Linked DNA regions of Neurospora crassa OR74A. The protein of the gene in region 1 binds, or shares a complex with, the protein of each later gene. Links are inferred from orthologs where the notes say so. Each region holds a gene or a part of one and is shown in the gene's direction. Other genes may lie near its edges.

What was found.
Region 2: NCU08960 (region 1) and NCU03635 share a complex: the UniProt entries of both Saccharomyces cerevisiae proteins name them as parts of the large ribosomal subunit. The link is inferred for Neurospora crassa OR74A from reciprocal best matches to the Saccharomyces cerevisiae genes RPP1A and RPL38.

The regions. Positions count from the first base shown.
Region 1 is NC_026505.1:5,820,338-5,829,537, forward strand, and holds NCU08960 (60S acidic ribosomal protein P1), read left to right. Parts: upstream 1-4,499; 5' UTR 4,500-4,625; coding exon 4,626-4,694; intron 4,695-4,936; coding exon 4,937-5,014; intron 5,015-5,119; coding exon 5,120-5,255; intron 5,256-5,346; coding exon 5,347-5,393; 3' UTR 5,394-6,206; downstream 6,207-9,200. Other genes in the region: NCU17036 (hypothetical protein), read left to right, coding at 522-580, 733-964, 1,285-1,332; NCU08959 (hypothetical protein), read right to left, coding at 1,750-1,920, 1,979-2,378, 2,434-2,600, 2,657-3,045, 3,116-3,329; NCU17037 (hypothetical protein), read right to left, coding at 3,802-4,248, 4,305-4,499; NCU17038 (hypothetical protein), read right to left, coding at 7,226-7,750. UniProt on the Saccharomyces cerevisiae protein: Component of the ribosome, a large ribonucleoprotein complex responsible for the synthesis of proteins in the cell.
Region 2 is NC_026505.1:1,906,584-1,914,728, reverse strand, and holds NCU03635 (60S ribosomal protein L38), read left to right. Parts: upstream 1-4,037; 5' UTR 4,038-4,152; coding exon 4,153-4,182; intron 4,183-4,265; coding exon 4,266-4,299; intron 4,300-4,382; coding exon 4,383-4,511; intron 4,512-4,614; coding exon 4,615-4,664; 3' UTR 4,665-4,958; downstream 4,959-8,145. Other genes in the region: NCU03638 (hypothetical protein), read right to left, coding at 1-61, 144-217; NCU03637 (CaaX prenyl protease Ste24), read right to left, coding at 762-1,205, 1,267-2,013, 2,072-2,254, 2,329-2,343; NCU03636 (hypothetical protein), read right to left, coding at 3,053-3,136, 3,212-3,345, 3,403-3,454; NCU03634 (hypothetical protein), read right to left, coding at 5,004-5,705; NCU03633 (mevalonate kinase), read left to right, coding at 7,726-8,025, 8,112-8,145. UniProt on the Saccharomyces cerevisiae protein: Component of the ribosome, a large ribonucleoprotein complex responsible for the synthesis of proteins in the cell.

The DNA.
Region 1 (9,200 bases):
TGGATACCGATGGGATGGGATGGGATGGGATGGAATGGGACGATGACTGATGATGATTAATGATCATTTTCTTACTTTGTCATTTCTTTCTTTTCTCTCAGTTTCTTTCTTGCTTTGGATACTCTTCTTTATGATTTTACCTTTTGATGACTTGCTATTTAGATACGACGTTATGTTTGTTTCCATGCCTTCATGTTTGACATGTTGTGTTGATGTTAAAGATGGGTGATGATGGGTGTAATGGGATTTGTCTTTGTCTCTCCCTTTGATAATGTTCTCGTCAGTTAGTCGATATAGCTTGATACCAATACTACCTAACTGCTTTTACTTAAACTCTACTAGACCATATCCAAGCATGCAGTTACGTGATCATCAACATGTAAACTGACGGAGACATACCGTATACAGACACATCGCCCAAAGACAAATTTCCCAAGCCACCATTTAACGTAGTTCATCCATCAAGCATCGGAGCTAACACTCCCTTGCCATTGCCCACGCACCATCCTGCTCTAGACTACATGGCTACATACATCTTTCCTTCCTTTTCGTCCGCCTGCCTCGGTGAAATCATCCACGTGTTAGACCATTCAATATCACCGTCACCGTGCCACCTTCCATACTTCCCCGGTCAACGAAAGAGGTCCGTCCGTCCGTCTTCCCCTTCCCGTGTTTCGACTCACTCCCTCACTCATTTCGTCGGTTTGCCAACGTCACGGTACAGTCACACAGGAATTATTCTCTTTCGAGGAAGAGCAAGAGCAAGAGCAAGAGCAAGAGCAAGAGCAAGAGCAAGAGCAAGAGCAAGAGCAAGAGCAAGAGCAAGAGCAAGAGCAAGAGCAAGAGCAAGAGCAAGAGCAAGAGCAAGAGCAAGAGCAAGAGCAAGAGCAAGAGCAAGAACAAGAGCAAGAGCAAAGACGCTGGGACGGGATTCTCCAAATTTCAGCATGTTTTCTCCAGGGTAGTTTGTTCCCGAGGAGAATGGTTCTCTCTCTCTCTCTCTCTCTCTCTCTCTCTCTCTCTCTCTCTCTCTCTCTCTCTCTCTCTCTCTCTCTCTCTCTCTCTCTCTCTCTCTCTCTCTCTCTCTCTCTCTCTCTCTCTCTCTCTCTCTCTCTCTCTCTCTCTCTCTCTCTCTCTCTCTCTGTGTGTGTGTGTGTGTGTGTGTGCGGTGATGAGATGAAAGTAAAAGATGGGAAAGGATTGACAAGGTAGTAGAAAGGCGGCGCGACAGCTTAATGGATATGCAACGTGGATGCGATTGTCGTAAGAACTAAGAAACAGCAGAGACTCGAAGATATCATGGAAGGAACGGACAATTGGCGGGAGGCGTGAGACAAAACAACCCTCGACAAACGGAAGCTGTGACTGCAGTCGCATTAAGCCTTCACGCGTCTCTTCATGCTCCTTGGACCGACATTGTGCTCTCTTTTGTGTGCTGCTTCTAGGTAATATAAGGAGGTAATATGCATCAAAGATCAGATAGGGGAGGGAGCAGCCGTAATGATCTCATCGCCAGACAAACGTACAAAAAGTCAAGTTTTAGCTGCGAGCTTGTCAGCCAACAATAGAGAAATGATGCAGCGTATCTGGTGGTGAAGAGTCCTTTCGCTTCAACATCCCATATTGTGTATAAGTAAAAGCAGACGCCGCTGGATGAGAAAAAACAAAAGGAAACCACAACTATTCAGTACAAAATGCCGTAAAGCCCTCAAGTCTATGATATCGAAACTTTCGCTCAGGGTCAATCGATTACGAGGAGCTATCCTTCTCCTTCTCCTCCATCTCTTCAGCCATGACCTTCAACTCATAGGAAAGATCGTAGCACTCAGCCAGCAAAGCGCTGACGCTCCCTTGGCCCTCGGGTATATCGCCGCCAACCATGAACTTGCCATCGACGCGCATGTTGTCAATGGAGTTGAGCTGTAATCCAACGTTAATCACTGTCCAGTGCCCATGGGGCAAAGATTGACAAACATACCTTCATGCTGTAGGGATACAGCTCCCTGACCGAGCTGACACCGCCCGAGTCCTTCACCTCGATCAGGCACCGCTTCAGCGTCTGGAGCTGGTTATAGATGGGCAGCAGAGCCTCCGATACCGGCTCCGACGAGATCATCAGGTAGTAGATGTAGCCATAGCTCCTCCTGATGAGGTACAGCAGCGTACGCTGGACGTACAGCTCGGCGGGCTTTCCTTCGTCGTCCAGCCAGTTGCCATCCACTCGGCTCTCATCTATCTTGTCGAGCTTGCGCTGGTAGTCGTACAGGTCCGTCTCGCGCAGTGACCAGGCCTGGGTGATGGACAGCTTCTCGAGCTCATTACGGATGCTGACAAGCTGCTCGTGCCTAGCCTTGAAGGCCTCGGGGATAACTCCTTTCCTAAGGTGGGGGTCAGGAACTGGCTGGCAGTGAAATGTGGGATAGTTGTACGTACCTTTCAAGAACAATGTCAGACCACCTGAGGCAGACATCCACTAGGCGCGATACCCTCTCGCTACCACGAAGAACTTGGCCGTCTGGCCCGACAAAGTTGCCATCCACCCTCGACTCGTCAATCTCCTTGACCTGCGCTTGTAGCCTCTGGACCTCTGATGCCGAAAACTGTGTGACCTGTTAGCTTACCATTCTCGTATCCGTCCGCCCTTGTGCGTCCTTACCTTGGCCTTGGTGTTCGCAAGTGACATGGACCGTAGTATGGAGATCAGCCTCTCATGCATGCTCTGTAGCGGGTCCTGCAGCTCGTCCACCCTCTTCTTCAGGTTATCCAGCGAGCTATGGCAGAGCTCCAGCCGGTTGGCCAAAAGCTCAACAATGTAGGGCGAGTGGGCGGAGGGGTCCGAGGCCGTCATGATCTTGTCGAGCTGCGAGAGGGTGTGGGCTATGCTGTTCAGGTCTTTGGCTGAGTAGAGGTCGGCCTCGGTCAGGTGGTCGAGTAATCGCTTGATGGTCGAGGTCAACGCATAGGCGGCAGGGGCTTCTTGTGTGCGGCCGATGGTCATGAAGAAGAGGGAGAGGAGCTGTAGGCAGCTCTCGAGGACTCTGTCGACTACGGGGGTGGTGTTAGATTTTCCTTGTTCAATTGGCAGCTTGGGATGGGCTATGGAGGATGGGCGTACCTCTGGTCTCGGTCACCTTTTCCCCTTTCCTAATCTCGTTGAGTTCCTTGACCTGCTCGACAACCTGATCATAGTGTACAATCACATCCTGAGTGCGGATGTATTTTGTTCGGTCTCTCTTGAGGAGCAGCAGCTGATCGCGGATGGCTGAGAGCTTGTCGAGAATGGCTTGTTCCCGCTCATCTTTCGGCATGGGCATCGCCGGAGTCTCCATTGTCGCTATGTGTTTATTGTGTTGTGTTGTGTTGTTTTGTGTTGGGTGTTTATGGGTAAAAGTCGGTGAAGTCGGTTGCGATGTCTGAGAGTTGGCTCGTTTTCGTTACTTGGATGATGCCGTTCGAGGGTCGATGTTGGTTGAAGGAAAAGAAAAGGCGCGAAAGGATTGTTGAGAATGGGAAAGACGCAGCCAAGCAATTGGGAAAAGGATGGTGTTGCCGGAGCAAGGGAATGAATGTTGGAAACGGGCGATTCCTTGTCCAAGTCCAGCTTTCTTTGATCCAAGGAGTAGACTTGGTCTATGTAATGTAATGCGCCTCAACAATGGCAAAGAGAGCGGGATGCAAGTTCAGTTGTTTGTCCGGTTGATGGCGTTTCTCCAAGTACTATGGTATTTCCCCTTTCCGACGGAGGAGTTGACAAGAGTGATGAACGCTGCCTCCTGATTCGTGCGCTTTCCCTTGTTGATCTCACTCTTGTTGGTTTTTGCGGAATTGCTGGACTGAGTGCTGAAATAGGTGCAGATGGATGCTTCTCAGAGACAACCCGACGGGACGGGCTGGCGTGTCGGCAGGCACTCCGCTACGGCAGGAGAAGAGGCCTATGGCGCCCCGAATCCACAGCGGCGACGTCAGTGGATGCATGAATAGCGGCGGGGCGAAGGAGCTCCATGGTAGATAGTGTAGTGCCAAAGGAATGGTGGGGTTCTTGCCGACAAGGGTCGAGGCCTGGCGGAAAGCTTGTCGGACCAGGGCACTCGTCTTGGCAAGGCTGGGCGCCAAACTGCCCGGCCTGAATCGATGAGGTGCTTCCCCAAATTCCAGGCCATACACTATGGTCAACTGGTGGGGGAACATCAGTCGTCCCGATCCGGTACAAGTGCGAGGGACGGCAATGCCCTGGAGGCCAGCACGTGCCTGTTGGGCGGTAGCGGCAGTCAGGGCAGCACTGCCCTGCACCCAGTCCTACCTACAGTACCACCAACCCTCGGGTTCGGGTTGCGAACTGAACCGCTGGTTTGGACCGTGACATCGTGGGGCTGTTGCATTTCCATCTCCCAGCGTGCACAGACCAGGCAAAAAGCAGAACGGCAGCTCAAAAGAGTCTTGGCATCCAAGCCGCTGCCAGTCGCTTGCCAGCTGCCCGCCTTTGTAGGGTCCCAGGGCATTTTTTGAATTGCCCACAACTAATTAAATTTCACTTCCCGCGAATTTCTAGCTAGGACATCATCCCACGATCGAACAGCCCTCCCGAGACTCAGCATCTTTGCGCCTCGACAATCAACACCATCAAAATGTCTACTGCTGAGCTGGCTACCTCCTACGCGGCGCTCATCCTCGCCGATGACGGCGTTGAGATCACTGTGAGTTTGCGACCAATGCACATGATCTTTTGGTTGGCAAGATTTGGGTGGATTCGGGGTTTGGGGACAGTTTCAAGCGCGCCATGTACACACGGTTATTGCTCGACATGCGCTTTCAACGACCGGGACAAATGACGAAACATGGATTGAGGGGCAAACCGAGTGGAGGACAATGAGTGATATGAACAAGCACATTGGGAGGAACAATGTTGACTGACCAAACCCGTTTTCGCATGATATAGGCCGACAAGATCCAGACCATCATCAAGGCTGCCAAGATCGAGGATGTCGAGCCTATCTGGGCTTCCCTCTTCGCCAAGGTACGATGAAACCACCGACGACGACAATCCGAAAAAAAAAAGAAACGATATCTTGAGAGAAACGCGAACACGATAAACTGACTGGAGTCTCTTTTGCGAAAATAGGCTCTTGAGGGCAAGGATGTGAAGGACCTCCTTTCCAACGTCGGCTCCGGTGGTGCCGCCGCTGCCCCCGCTGCCGCTGGCGCCGCTGCCGCTGGTGGTGCCGCTGAGGAGGCCAAGGCTGAGGAGAAGGTTGAGGGTATGTGGAATCATCTACTCCCAAGCTCTTTCCCGGGGCTGTTGCTGCTGCTGCTGCTGCTAGTTACTAACCTGCGTTTTGCACTTTACAGAGAAGGAGGAGTCCGACGAGGATATGGGCTTCGGTCTCTTCGACTAAGCGAAGAAAGGGGGCTTTCTTCTGGTTTGGTCATGACCTCTCGTTTCCAATTTGTTCTTCCAAAGCTTGCATGGGTCTGCGACGGTTTCTCGCACATACGACTTCGGTTATGGGAGGCTTATGATATCAGGGGTTCGGTTCATCGGCGTAGCTTTACACGGACAATGAAGATGCGCTTTTGAGCAAAAGAAGTAAAAACACTTGGAAGCTTGCTCTCCACTTGTTGAAGCGACGGATTTCCACCGTAGCAGACATCCGACTCTACGACCGACAGCGCGCCCGGATCTTGATGGTCGATTGATACCCGGACCTGAGGTTCCTGCTCACCGTTTTGGAAGATGAGCTGGTACAAACTCAAGAAAAGGCAGATAAGACAAATTATCTGTTACTGATTCCAACTTGGGCTAGTGTTTACGACTCGTGTTTGTTTACTTTGTCATGATACGACGTCATCTTCACCTGCGTTTCTTGAAACCCAAACATCACCCCGAGTTGTCAACACAATCTCCGTTTGCGACGCGCTCCAGTCGCGTTCACTTTGATTTCGCACAGCCTCGTGTGTACCTTGCTGGCCATGACTCCATTCCCATGCCAATCTCCAGATTCGTATCCCACTGATCCCAGACGTAGATCTTATCGAAAGTCAACAGCGTGCCTGGCGATAAGATAAGGGGACCAGACGCAAACAGTACAGCCTTATGTCAACACGGATGAAGGCTCACAGTACAGGCGCCGAATCAAAGTCGTCGAATATGTCGTCTCTCGTCCCGCTTTATGACGATCCTGCGATATAACTTTGTGAACCCTAGCTGGAACGTCTTCTGCCGTGTCTACTGCAGATGTGGGTTCATATACTTGATAAGATAAGGGAAGTTCATAACGGAACCGAAGCTTCAAGCACCATCACTGAAGACACTCGACCACACTGCTGGCTTACCAAAAGTATGTTTCTTGTTAACTCTTCATAGATATCCATTCCACCTTAACAGAGCTGCTTATGCATAAAGATAGAGAAACTCGTCCGGTTTGCCTAAAAAACGACTGGGCTGAAATCATCAAGTTAACCGCCAAACCACAGTTAAGAGAACCGCCCATGATGATGCATCCTTAATTACCCGTCTCATCTCTACATAGTAGACCGTACACAACTCGATATGCTTCCCCCTCGTTGGAGGCATGTTGGTTCTTCATGCCTATTTTCCGCAACATCTGCATGCAGTCAGTAATACCCAAATGTCTTTTCACATTTCACTTCGCAGCCAGGACAGCAAACGGCAACGGCAACGGCAACGGCAACGGCAACGGCAATCAATACAGCTGCTATATCGCCTTTTGGCTGACTGACAACATGGGACAAATGAAGCCTACATGGATGTTGGTGTTTTGAAGGCCAAGTGACTGACTAATTGACTGACTGACTGATTGGCTACAGCCCCAATACGGCGTGCCCCTACTTTGTCTGGCTTGAGGTACCAACCCCAACGAAGCAAAACGAGATAACAATTTCCACTATACCGACCTACCTCTGATGACTAGGTATCAAAAAAACCGTCAAGAGAACTGTTAGAAGAAAAAAACCGACCATAATGCATCTTTACCTGTTCCTCCACAGTAGAGCAGGTCCATGTCCATGTCCAAGTCCTGCCCTACCTGACCTAGAAACCCAACATCTACCTACAAATTCTCACACCCACACACACTCTCTCTCCCCTGAGTGACCCCTCTCCCCTGTGTCCAGTCCCCTCTCCGCATTTCCCCTTCCCCTGTGTCCCCTCTTCCCTGTGTCCCCCTCTCCGCATTTCCCCTTCCCCTTCCCCTTCCCTCACCTACCTCTAATCACCACCATCCTTCGGCAGGACAACCCCAATCAACTTGCCCCAAAAGGCATTATACGCCTCTGTATCATTATTTTCATTATTATTTTCATCATCATTTTCATTCTTATCATTATCATTATTCTCCTTGCTTTTGTCGTTGTTGTTGTTGTCGGGTGTAATCCCAATCAACTTGCCCCAAAAGGCATTATACGCCTCTGTATTGTTATTGTTATTGTTATTGTTGTTATTATTATTATTACTCTCCTTACTTCCTTTGTCGTTGTCGTTGTCGTTGTCGGATGTCGTCTTGCCAAATGGTGGTGGTGGAAGTCTTTTGGACTGACATCTCTTCGTATTAGCCCCCGTGTTTGTCTTGAGAGAAGTATCAGCAGCGGGAGTAGTCTCCATCGACTGAGTAGTAATGACAGTAGCAGGAGGAGGAAAGAGGTGGTCCAGTTTGGAATCCTCTGCATTGAGGGGTTGCGTGATGGGTTTGGTGGTGGTGGTAGTAGTAGTAGTAGTAGTAGTGGTGGGTTCCATCTGGATTGATGTTGCGGAGGGAGTTCCTCCTGAGATGGTGGGTGGGGATTTGTTGCCTGTTAAAGGTTTGTTGGACGACAGTGATGGTACCGGCGGTATGATGATGTTCGAGTGTTTATGGTTTGAGATTGAGTTCGAGGAGGAGTAGTTCCGGCTCTAGACCTGGTTCTGGTTCGAATTCTGGCACTAGGAGATACAGTTGAAAGGGAGTATGAGAGAGCAGATGAAGGATGGGAATATGGACGGACACTGGATGTTCTTCCGAGTAAGTGCCCTGGGTTTGGCGTGGTCCCGGGTTCGAAATATATATCTTGGGGATCTCTCGACAGGCAGGGTTAACCTCGGCTGGCTGAGAGAGGAAGAAGTGTGCAGAGACTTTGTATTTCAGCAAGCAAGCGAGGACTGAAATCGTAGATAGGTAAGTGTTGTTGGTGTTGATCCACTAACAGCTACTCGTTACTGGGAATATGAGGGGGACGAAACTGAGGGAGAAGCTGGTGCAGAAGGCCATAAAACGAGCGGAGGACCCGAAAAAGATAAAAGGTTAAAGGTCTATTCATCCTACACCTAATCATGGAATCACCAGAGGAAAAACAACCAAAAAAAAAAAAAAAAAAAAAAAAAAAAAAAAAAAGTACCTACCTAGATGACTAGGAAGTCTCGCACACATCCCGCGCACCAAATCCCCAATTTCCAATACTCCCACAACATTCCTACGACATTTCTTCCATCCCATGTACACTTCCGCAATCCCACCACCACCACCCCGTGTCGTCCGTCCGTCCGTCCGGCTACCCTTTCATCTTGCCCACAAAGCTCTTTCTAATCCTTGTAAACATCCCCTGTCTAAGCAAGCAAGCAAGCAAGCCCTGTCTGAATGATCCCCCCCTCCCGCTTCCCATGCTTCCCATGATCCATCCATCCATCCATCCCTCCCGCCCGCCCGCTTTCCATGTGCTATCCACGTGGCAACGCCATCCTCCCCCTTCCCCCCCTGGTCATGCGTATCCCGGCACGTCCAGTCCACGTCCTGCCGCTCTTCAATATATATACGCAGTATATATGTATGTGTCAAGGGAATGTGGAAGCAGAAGCAAACATATGATTTTGACCAAACTAGGTAGAGAAGTGTGGTAACACGAAAGAAAGAACCTAACCCTCGTAGAACAAGAGGTAGGTATTCCTTCTTCTTCTTATTCTTGCTGTTTGTGCTTCTCTCTCTGTCCTGAAGTTCAGCGCCGTTCGACTTCGTAGGTCTGGCGAGGAGCAAGTAGGTATTAACTGAGGTTGTTGGGGAACAATGCCCGCTTGCTTGTTGCCCGGTGTGGTTTTTGTTTACTCAGTTGGTGACTTGGTGACTCGGTGACTTGGAGGTGAAGTGAGTGAGTTATCACACAGAGGTAGATTGAAAGTGGCTCAATTCAATTCAATCCATTTGCCTGTATTACCT
Region 2 (8,145 bases), about 3.9 Mb from region 1:
GATGGTACTGGGGGTGGAAGACAAGGTGGCGGGACGGAGGGAGGGGAGGATGGAGAATGAGCTGTATTCAGGGAAGTGGTCAGTTACTATGTTTGTGTTTTGGCATGCGGGTGGGGAGGGAAGGCAAGAGCAGAACAGCGTACCGAGTGGCAGTCTTGGGAAGAAAAGCGCTCGGCTTGAAAACAGCCTGGAGGGCCGACGAGAAAATCCTGGACATTTTGTCTACAAATGTGGTTGTCGCCGATGATGGTAGTGGTGGTAGTCGACGTCAAAGGATTGCGGGGGTGGAACAGGACCGGGCGAGACCGAATGCGCCGGGACGAACACAAAGCGTTTCGGGGATCCTATAGAGTGGTTCGCGACGAGCGGGCGCGGTTGCTGGATCGGCTCCGTCCAAAGTTCGATTGATCGGCCGGGGTCCGGGGAGAGCTTTTTGCACCCGGTTGCCAGCTGCTACTGTGGGAAGCAAGGGTTAGGGTTAAGTATTTCATCTGTGTTACCTCGACAATATGGTCTGCATTCGGTAATGAACCGCATAACAAGTTCCAGGTTCAAGGTTGATGAACTCCGTCCTGTTCAGTTCAGTAATGGAAGCCAGATTCTTTCTAGATTGTCTATCAAAAATTGAAGATTTAAAAGCAATATAGAGTAGGGTACTCTTCGCTGAGTGTGCTGATTTCCTTTGATTTGTGATCCCGCGCATGTCAGCCTTATTTATCAATTCCTCATCCACCTTCTCATTTGCATCATCCTTCACTGGCTTAGAGCTCATCCCGCCCAGTGGCAGTAGCAACATCAATCTTCTCTTCACCATCCTTGGCCTTCTCCTTGCCCTCAACCTTTCCAGTGGACTGCCAGTTGAGAGCCTTCAGTCTCTCGGTCAAAATGGGGTGCGAGAAGTGGTAAGTGGCGAACATCCAATCAGCATCCATAGTGCTGAGGTTCTGGATCTGGAGCTTGATCAAGGAGCGAGCGAGCTCCGCATTGTAGCCAAGCTTGTTGGCGAACTCATCAGCCTGGAACTCGAACTTGCGGCTGAGAACATTCATGCCCAGCTTGATGAGGGTGTCGGTAGGGCCAAGGACGTCCGAGAAGAGAAGGAATCCAACGATGATAGGGTGCACCGTGTGGAAGCCAAAGTCGGCATAAAGGGAGTTGTTGTTGATGAAAACGGAGAAGAGAGAGAAAATGGCGAAGAAGTGGGCCTATGCATTGTCAATCACAATTCGTGGTAAACAGCGGGATAACAAAGCAGCATCAGCTTACCTGGGAGATGCCAAAGAGACTAGTGGTGTGACCCAACTTCCAGTGACCCAGCTCGTGTGCAAGAACGGCAACAACTTCCTGGGTCTCGCTCTTTTCAATTAGGGTATCATAAATGACAATGTGCTTCTTCCAGGGCATGCCGAAGAAATAAGCGTTGCTGTGGGCACTGCGCTTGCTGCCATCAATGACGTGCAACTCGGAGAGGGGGAACTTGAGCTTCTTGGCGAGATCCTCCACGCTGCTCTTGAGCTCACCCTCCTCAAGAGGAGAGAGCTTGTTAAACAGAGGCAGAATGAAAATCGGGTAGATGGTGATCATGACAACCTGGAGACCAGCGACGAAAACCCAGAGATAGTAGAAGAACTGGTTTCCAGTCTTTTGCACGATAGCTAAAAAGCCGGCGAGGATCGGAGGCGTGAGAACGAAGGTCAAGAAGAGGGACTTGATCTTGTCGGTAATCCAAAGCTTGGCAGACGACTTGTTGAAACCGAACTTCTCCTCCAAGACAAAAGTGTGGTAGAGGCTAGTCGGTAGCGAGAGAATCTGGGAGATGACGACAAAGGACAGGACGAAGACGATAGATTGCGAGATTTCGCCGGAGAACCTGGCTGGCGCGAACCGAACGAGGAGGTTGCCGGCGAATGACCATAGCTTCGGGAGGACGTCGAACTGATAGAACAAGATGTTTTGGATTTGACCGTAGATACCGCTGAAGAACTCGAACTTTGCCTTGGCGCGTCCGTATGCCTGTATCGTGTGTCAGAGAATGGTGGCCGGTTGGCCCGTAGCCTAGGGGATATCGTACCTGACTCTTGTCAAAGACCTCCTGGGACACCTCATGCTCCAACACCTTGGGGACCTTGGTCTTCTTGAGGACCTGATACTGACGATAACCGAGGAAACCTTCGATGAAGTAGTTGGCGAGGGAGAAGCCGATGATCAGCTTCTTCCAGGGAAAGAGAGGCCGGTCGAGGAACCTCGCGAGACGCTGTCGTTTTGAGAGTGCCATGTTAGCCGGTGCACGCCTTGGATGTCAGAGGAGAAGGATTTCGCAAAACGTACCTGAAGGAACTCCATCGTCGCGCAATAAGGGCGTGTCTACTAGAGGCTCCGCCGAATGCGCAAATGGAATGTTTGTTTGTTGGAACAATGAAAGCCAAAAGACCGTGTCAGATTGTCCGCCGCATTGGTTATAAGCACAATGCCAGGCAAGGTACAAACAGTAACAACAACCTGTCCTTGCCCCAGTTTCGCTTGGAGCTTCCTTGCAGGCATGTACCGCTACGTACCCTGCTGTGTATGGCGCAGTCGCCAACACTAGAAGTTACACATGCTGATTGGGTCGGGCTACTTCTCCTTGCGCTCGCCCCGCTCGGTAAATCTTATCGATAAGCCCGGTCGTAGAGGTTCCCCCGCCGCGAACCCGGACGCAACGCTGGATTGTTCGCATGTTGCCGGGTCACCCTACAGATCTCCGAACATAACAGTGTTTCCTGTTGTCATCAAGGCGCATTTCCCGATGTCTATAGTATGTAGTCATATCGTGTGGCTTCCGGTTTATGATCTTGTATTTAGCGGTTAGGATCACGAGTATGCAAGTACGATGGGAGAACAGGATTCAACAGCCATGTGTCCTCTAGCCAGCTGACGACACCATCGCCGGGCAGCATGCTATGAAGATAGTAATGTCCTCAAGAACATGGAACAGAGATAAATGCAGGCTAGGTATTCTTCAAGGGGTATAAACATATCATAGGGCTCCTCCGATTTCTCCAGCACGACCAGTTCACTGTCTTGGGATTCTCAAGTTCGCTTGGATCCTTTCCAGTAACTGCTCCCGGGTGTCCGAATCTTGTGGATGAAGATTACGCTGGTGATCATCAAAGTTAGCTCACAACATTAGCTTCGAGTTCTGCGTCAGCTTCTAACAAACTTGAAAACTCACCAGTGCAAGCCATCTGCGCATCTCCTCGCGAGTCCATTCTTCAGGATTGCCCTTTGGGTCAGCCTGGTCTTGAGGAAACACTTCGCCTCCAAAGATAGACCATGCGGCGACACCCGTCACGATGCCGGCGAATGCTATGTGGGGTTAGTCAAGCTTCGGTCGACTGCCCGACTGTTAAAAAAGAAGCTCACCAAGAAATGCGTTCTTGCTCGCGGAAACTATCAGAAGAGATTCGACAAGCATGATTGCTTCGGGATGTTGTGTTGTTGTGAAGAGGTACTCACTCGTGATCTCAACGCTTTATCTAGTGCCGTGGGCATATCGAGTAGTTCGGAAAAGGGTTGTCTTCGTTATAAGTGGTGGTAAGGCAAGAGGGGTAGACGCACTACTACAAAACGTTAACGCCCTAACTGAGTTGTCTGATGAGGTGGCACTTGGTTTGGAACAAAAGAAGCTCTACAATTAGGACCGCGTGATTAGTTTTTGATTATATACTATCTGGATTACACAAACTGGAATCGTGTCCTCCCGAGGCCTCGACCAGATGCGACCGAGCTTGAAGGCGAACTGCCGCGCAATCCCGTCAGATGTTCCAGATGGTCTAATGGTGACTGCCTGCGACTGAGGTAAGTCGACGCCACACGAGCTCCCTGTGTCACTGCATCTCCCAAAGTCGACGCAGTTACCAAAAGTGCAGCATCAGCCACACTTGGAGCTTGCGCTAACGTCGGCAGGTGTGATCTGGCGGAAGTGACAGCGGAAACAAGGGTGCATCGCGTTAGCGGCCCATTGCCCGCACGCATCCCCACCAAGCCACTCGCACCGCCCAGGCCCCAAACCCACACAAAATTATTTCCATAGTACCTAAAATTCATCCACGCTCCTGAACTCCGTTGTCGTCGTCACCACAAGTACGGGAAGTCCAGCACCAAGTCGCCAAAATGCCTCAGGAAATCGGAGATATCAAGAAGGTACGGAAATGCCCGTCGTCATGCTGAATTTGTGCATGCATGGTGCAAATGGGCTGTTTTGCTGACTTTGATTTCAACTACAGTTCATCGAGATCTGCCGGCGCAAGGACGCTTCCGGTACGTTTGGCTGAGGGCCTGCCTGAGAAAACACCGTAGCGAAAACCGAACGAAATTCTAACAGAGACGCTTTGATCCAACAGCCGCCCGGATTAAGAAGAACAAGGCTACTCAGCAGATCAAGTTCAAGGTCCGCTGCCAGAAGTACCTCTACACCCTTGTTCTCAAGGACTCCGACAAGGCTGAGAAGCTCAAGGCTTCCCTCCCTCCTTGTACGCGCTCCCCGACCCCCGAATAATAGCTCGAGAGAGAGATGGACAAACCGGAAAAAAAGCAGTTGCGAGAAAAGGATGGAACTGACATGCGAAACTACAGCCCTGACCATCGCCGACGTTGCCAAGCGCAACAAGAAGCAGACTGCTTAAATCTCTCGACAATGAGGAACTGATGGCTGCTTTGGCGCGAACGGGAAGCGAGTGAATGACGATTTTCAACTGCCTGGTTCTGGTGCTGGACATTTAATTCTCGCGAACTAAGACGGCGTTCTCGGATCGGGGGAAACCTTCATGGGATTGGGAACAGGAGTACTTGCGAGAGCAGGTGCAGGTCTTCGGAGCAGCGTGATGACTCTTTAGTTGTCAAGGTCTCACCGACCGCAAACCAACCCCTTGCAGAGGGTCTGAATACACATTCATGAGCGACCAATTCTTGGACCCCAGACTTGCGCATTTTCCCAACCAAGTGTCAAAGTGACAAAGAGGGCACTACAGGAACCGTCTGTAGTGCTGTGTTTCCACCGACGAAGCGATACCAGCAAGCTGACTGTACAGGAAAGATTGAGACGACGCAACGAACTCTTGCGTATGACTTTCGACACAGGACCACCCGGAAACCAATACGAACTCCTCACCTCCCGTCTCGCGATCGACACTGCGCCCGCTTCTGACCAAGTGAGGATGCACGACCTTTTCCATACTCGCCTCCACCTTCTGCAGCGTTGCGGCAAAGCTCTCCTTCTTTTCAGTGTCGACCAAGAATCTCTCGACACTGATGACCGGGCTATCGAGGAGTGCAATCACGTCTTTGGCGGTAGTGGCCTGGTTATTCCCAAAGATGTTCGTATCCAAGTGGAAAAGAATCAGTCCGCCTGGCTGGTTGGGCGGCCCTTGATTTGCGATGATCTTGGTCAAGTCTGAGCCCTCCATTTGCTGCTTGTTATCGTCGCTGAGGATCCATGCCCAATGCTCCTCCACCGAGCCCCAACTCGTTGTTAGAAGTATCTGCGTCTCGTCGTCGATCCCCCGGAAACAAGCCACGGCCCGTGCCGAGGCGGAAGAGGGGCGGTCGGGAAAGGCGCGAGCGTACCATGCATCTTGGGCAGTGATGGCCCTGCTGAAGGTATCTCGGAGGGTAGAGTCGGTGATCCCGGTGTGTACTTGGATGATGGCAATTTCAGTGACAGTCATCGTCGAAATATGTTCTGCGTTAGTGATAAAGCCAGGTTGTGAGCTTGGCGGTCTGAACGCTTCAAAATGCAGCAAAACTTGAATCCGTACACAGCTTTTATGTGTGATGGTTGTAGTTCATTCGGACTCGCTCATTCGGGACGATACGAAACGCAAGCTAGGCTACCTCCAAATTCGTAATCATGCGGCACAGTTGGGACACCATACACAGTAGACAATATGCGCCTGCTTTATAAATCATGCCATCCGCGTCCCCACTTCCCAAAGAACAGAATCATTATGATGCCCTGTCGTTCAACCAACATCAATAGAGGCTCTGCCGGCCGTCATCTGAGGCTAGATGTATGTAAGAAGAAACACTGGTATGGATGCGATAATGAGTTCTTGCGACTCTTCTGGACAGTCTTAATCAAATCCCTGCTGATGTCGTATACATGACGAGAAATGGGCCCACGATCTTTGATAGAGTCGGGCATCGCCAGTGTTCGGGTTTCGGTGCATGATGCCAACTCATGTATGCACTTCGACAAACATGTCGAACCCACCCACTAATGAGGCTGTCATCAAGGCCCCAGAGATATGTAGCCAGGAATGAGCTAACAAACCCACGAGACAAGGGGAAGTTCAGGTGACCATCCGACGTAGTGTATGTCAATTGGAATTCAAAGCTTTGGCAAAGATTTGGACTTTTGAAGCCTCTTGTTGTTCTCCAAGACTCTGCCTGATGTTTGTCCTGGACCAAGCGAGTTTCTGGGTGATGCCACACGCCGCCTTTGCAGTCTAGACTCAACTGACGATGGGGCAGCTGTCAGTTGAGTGAGGAGCTTGGGGAGCAGAACTGTAGAGCTCCCCTTGTCCTGAGCCCCTGTTATTCTGTGATCTCCCGATGCTCCCCCCTCCCTGTTCGAGGCGTTGTCCAGTTCACCGGAAGCTAGCGTCGTGTTGAGAAGCCAGAAAGCGCCAATCAGCGGCCGTGAGAAGGAAATCTAAAGCTAAAAGCCTCCACCCCTGTCAGTCAAAGTCCATGATGACAACCCCTTTTCAGCGTGGAAAGTATGTAACGGCTTCGGCGTGTGGGCTGAGATTTCCAACAGCAAAGAGTTCTGATTAGGCGTAGATAGCTTAGGTTCGGGCGTAACGGACAGCAGGAGAAAGAAGAATAGCATCAGGCACCATTGCCGTAAAGTACGAAGAAGAAGAAAGAAAGAAAGAAAGAAAAAAAAAAAAAAAAAAAGAGCGAGATATCAGAGCCCACTGACCCTCTTCTGCTGGAGTACATAACAGCTCCCCGCCTCTGGCTTTGCTATCCCCACGTAACGGGGTACATTCTCTCCGCCGCAGTTGCTGCAATCTCAAGTTGGCAACCCCTCGGCACCCAATCAACCCAAGTCTGTACACACCGTGACAGCGCCCGCCGCCTTCAAACTGTCACTTTGCGCAACCTCAACACGGCACGTCTGCAAGATTACTTCCATCGCAAACATACTGGGACTTGTCACCTTGTGTAACTTGTGGTCGTCTGGCGTATCAGGAACACCAATTGCACTCGTTCGCAGCCTCCGCCTAAATATCCGTCATCTGGACCTTGCAGACTCGAGCTAGAAAAAGATCGGCAGTACATCAACAACCTCCATCTCGCCCGCTTGTTTACCAACATCCCTACGCTGCGATACCCTCAGTTGCTTTGGGACCAATCTGTCGTCTTGAGCCCCCAATTTCTCTAGGCCTTCGATATATTACATATCTCTACCTATTTAGGCAGCTTCGGTTGCCTTACGCCGACTCGCTCTTCATCAGATCGGCATCTCGGCACAGTTCTACCTCAACGTGAACTAGTACTCAGCCATCATCTTGTTGGCGATTCCACGGTTCACCCAATTGCGCCGGATTCGTATATTGAGCCCCTCTCCGAAGGGCCCCTCCCGCTTAGCATTGTTGGTATTGTTGTCGCCGAACACAGACCGAGGGACGCTCGGGTCGATTACGTACAACATACGCACAAAGAAAACCACCTCTGACCATGGCAGAGCAAGAACACAACGGAGTCAATGGATTCCATTCCGAGTCCGAGCAGAGAAACCAACCCGTAAATGGTGATGCGAGCGAGGCCGTCAACGGAAACCCCAGCAATGGTCTCAGAGTGACGATTGAAGAAAGCGCCAGCAGCGCCGTCAACGGGGGCTCTCCTACCAACAGCATGTTAACACCCATACGACAGAGAATGGAACGCAAAAAGTCCAGTCCCATGATGCCGACGTTCATGGTTTCGGCACCGGGAAAAGTCATTGTGTTTGGAGAGCACGCAGTCGTTCACGGCAAGGTACGTCGATCAAGCACCTAGATCATGGTGATGCTGGAAAAGGGGGTAATGATTCCCAGAGGCTAACGGTTGTCTCTCTTCGCCAGGCTGCGATTGCTGCCGCCATCTCGCTGCGATCTT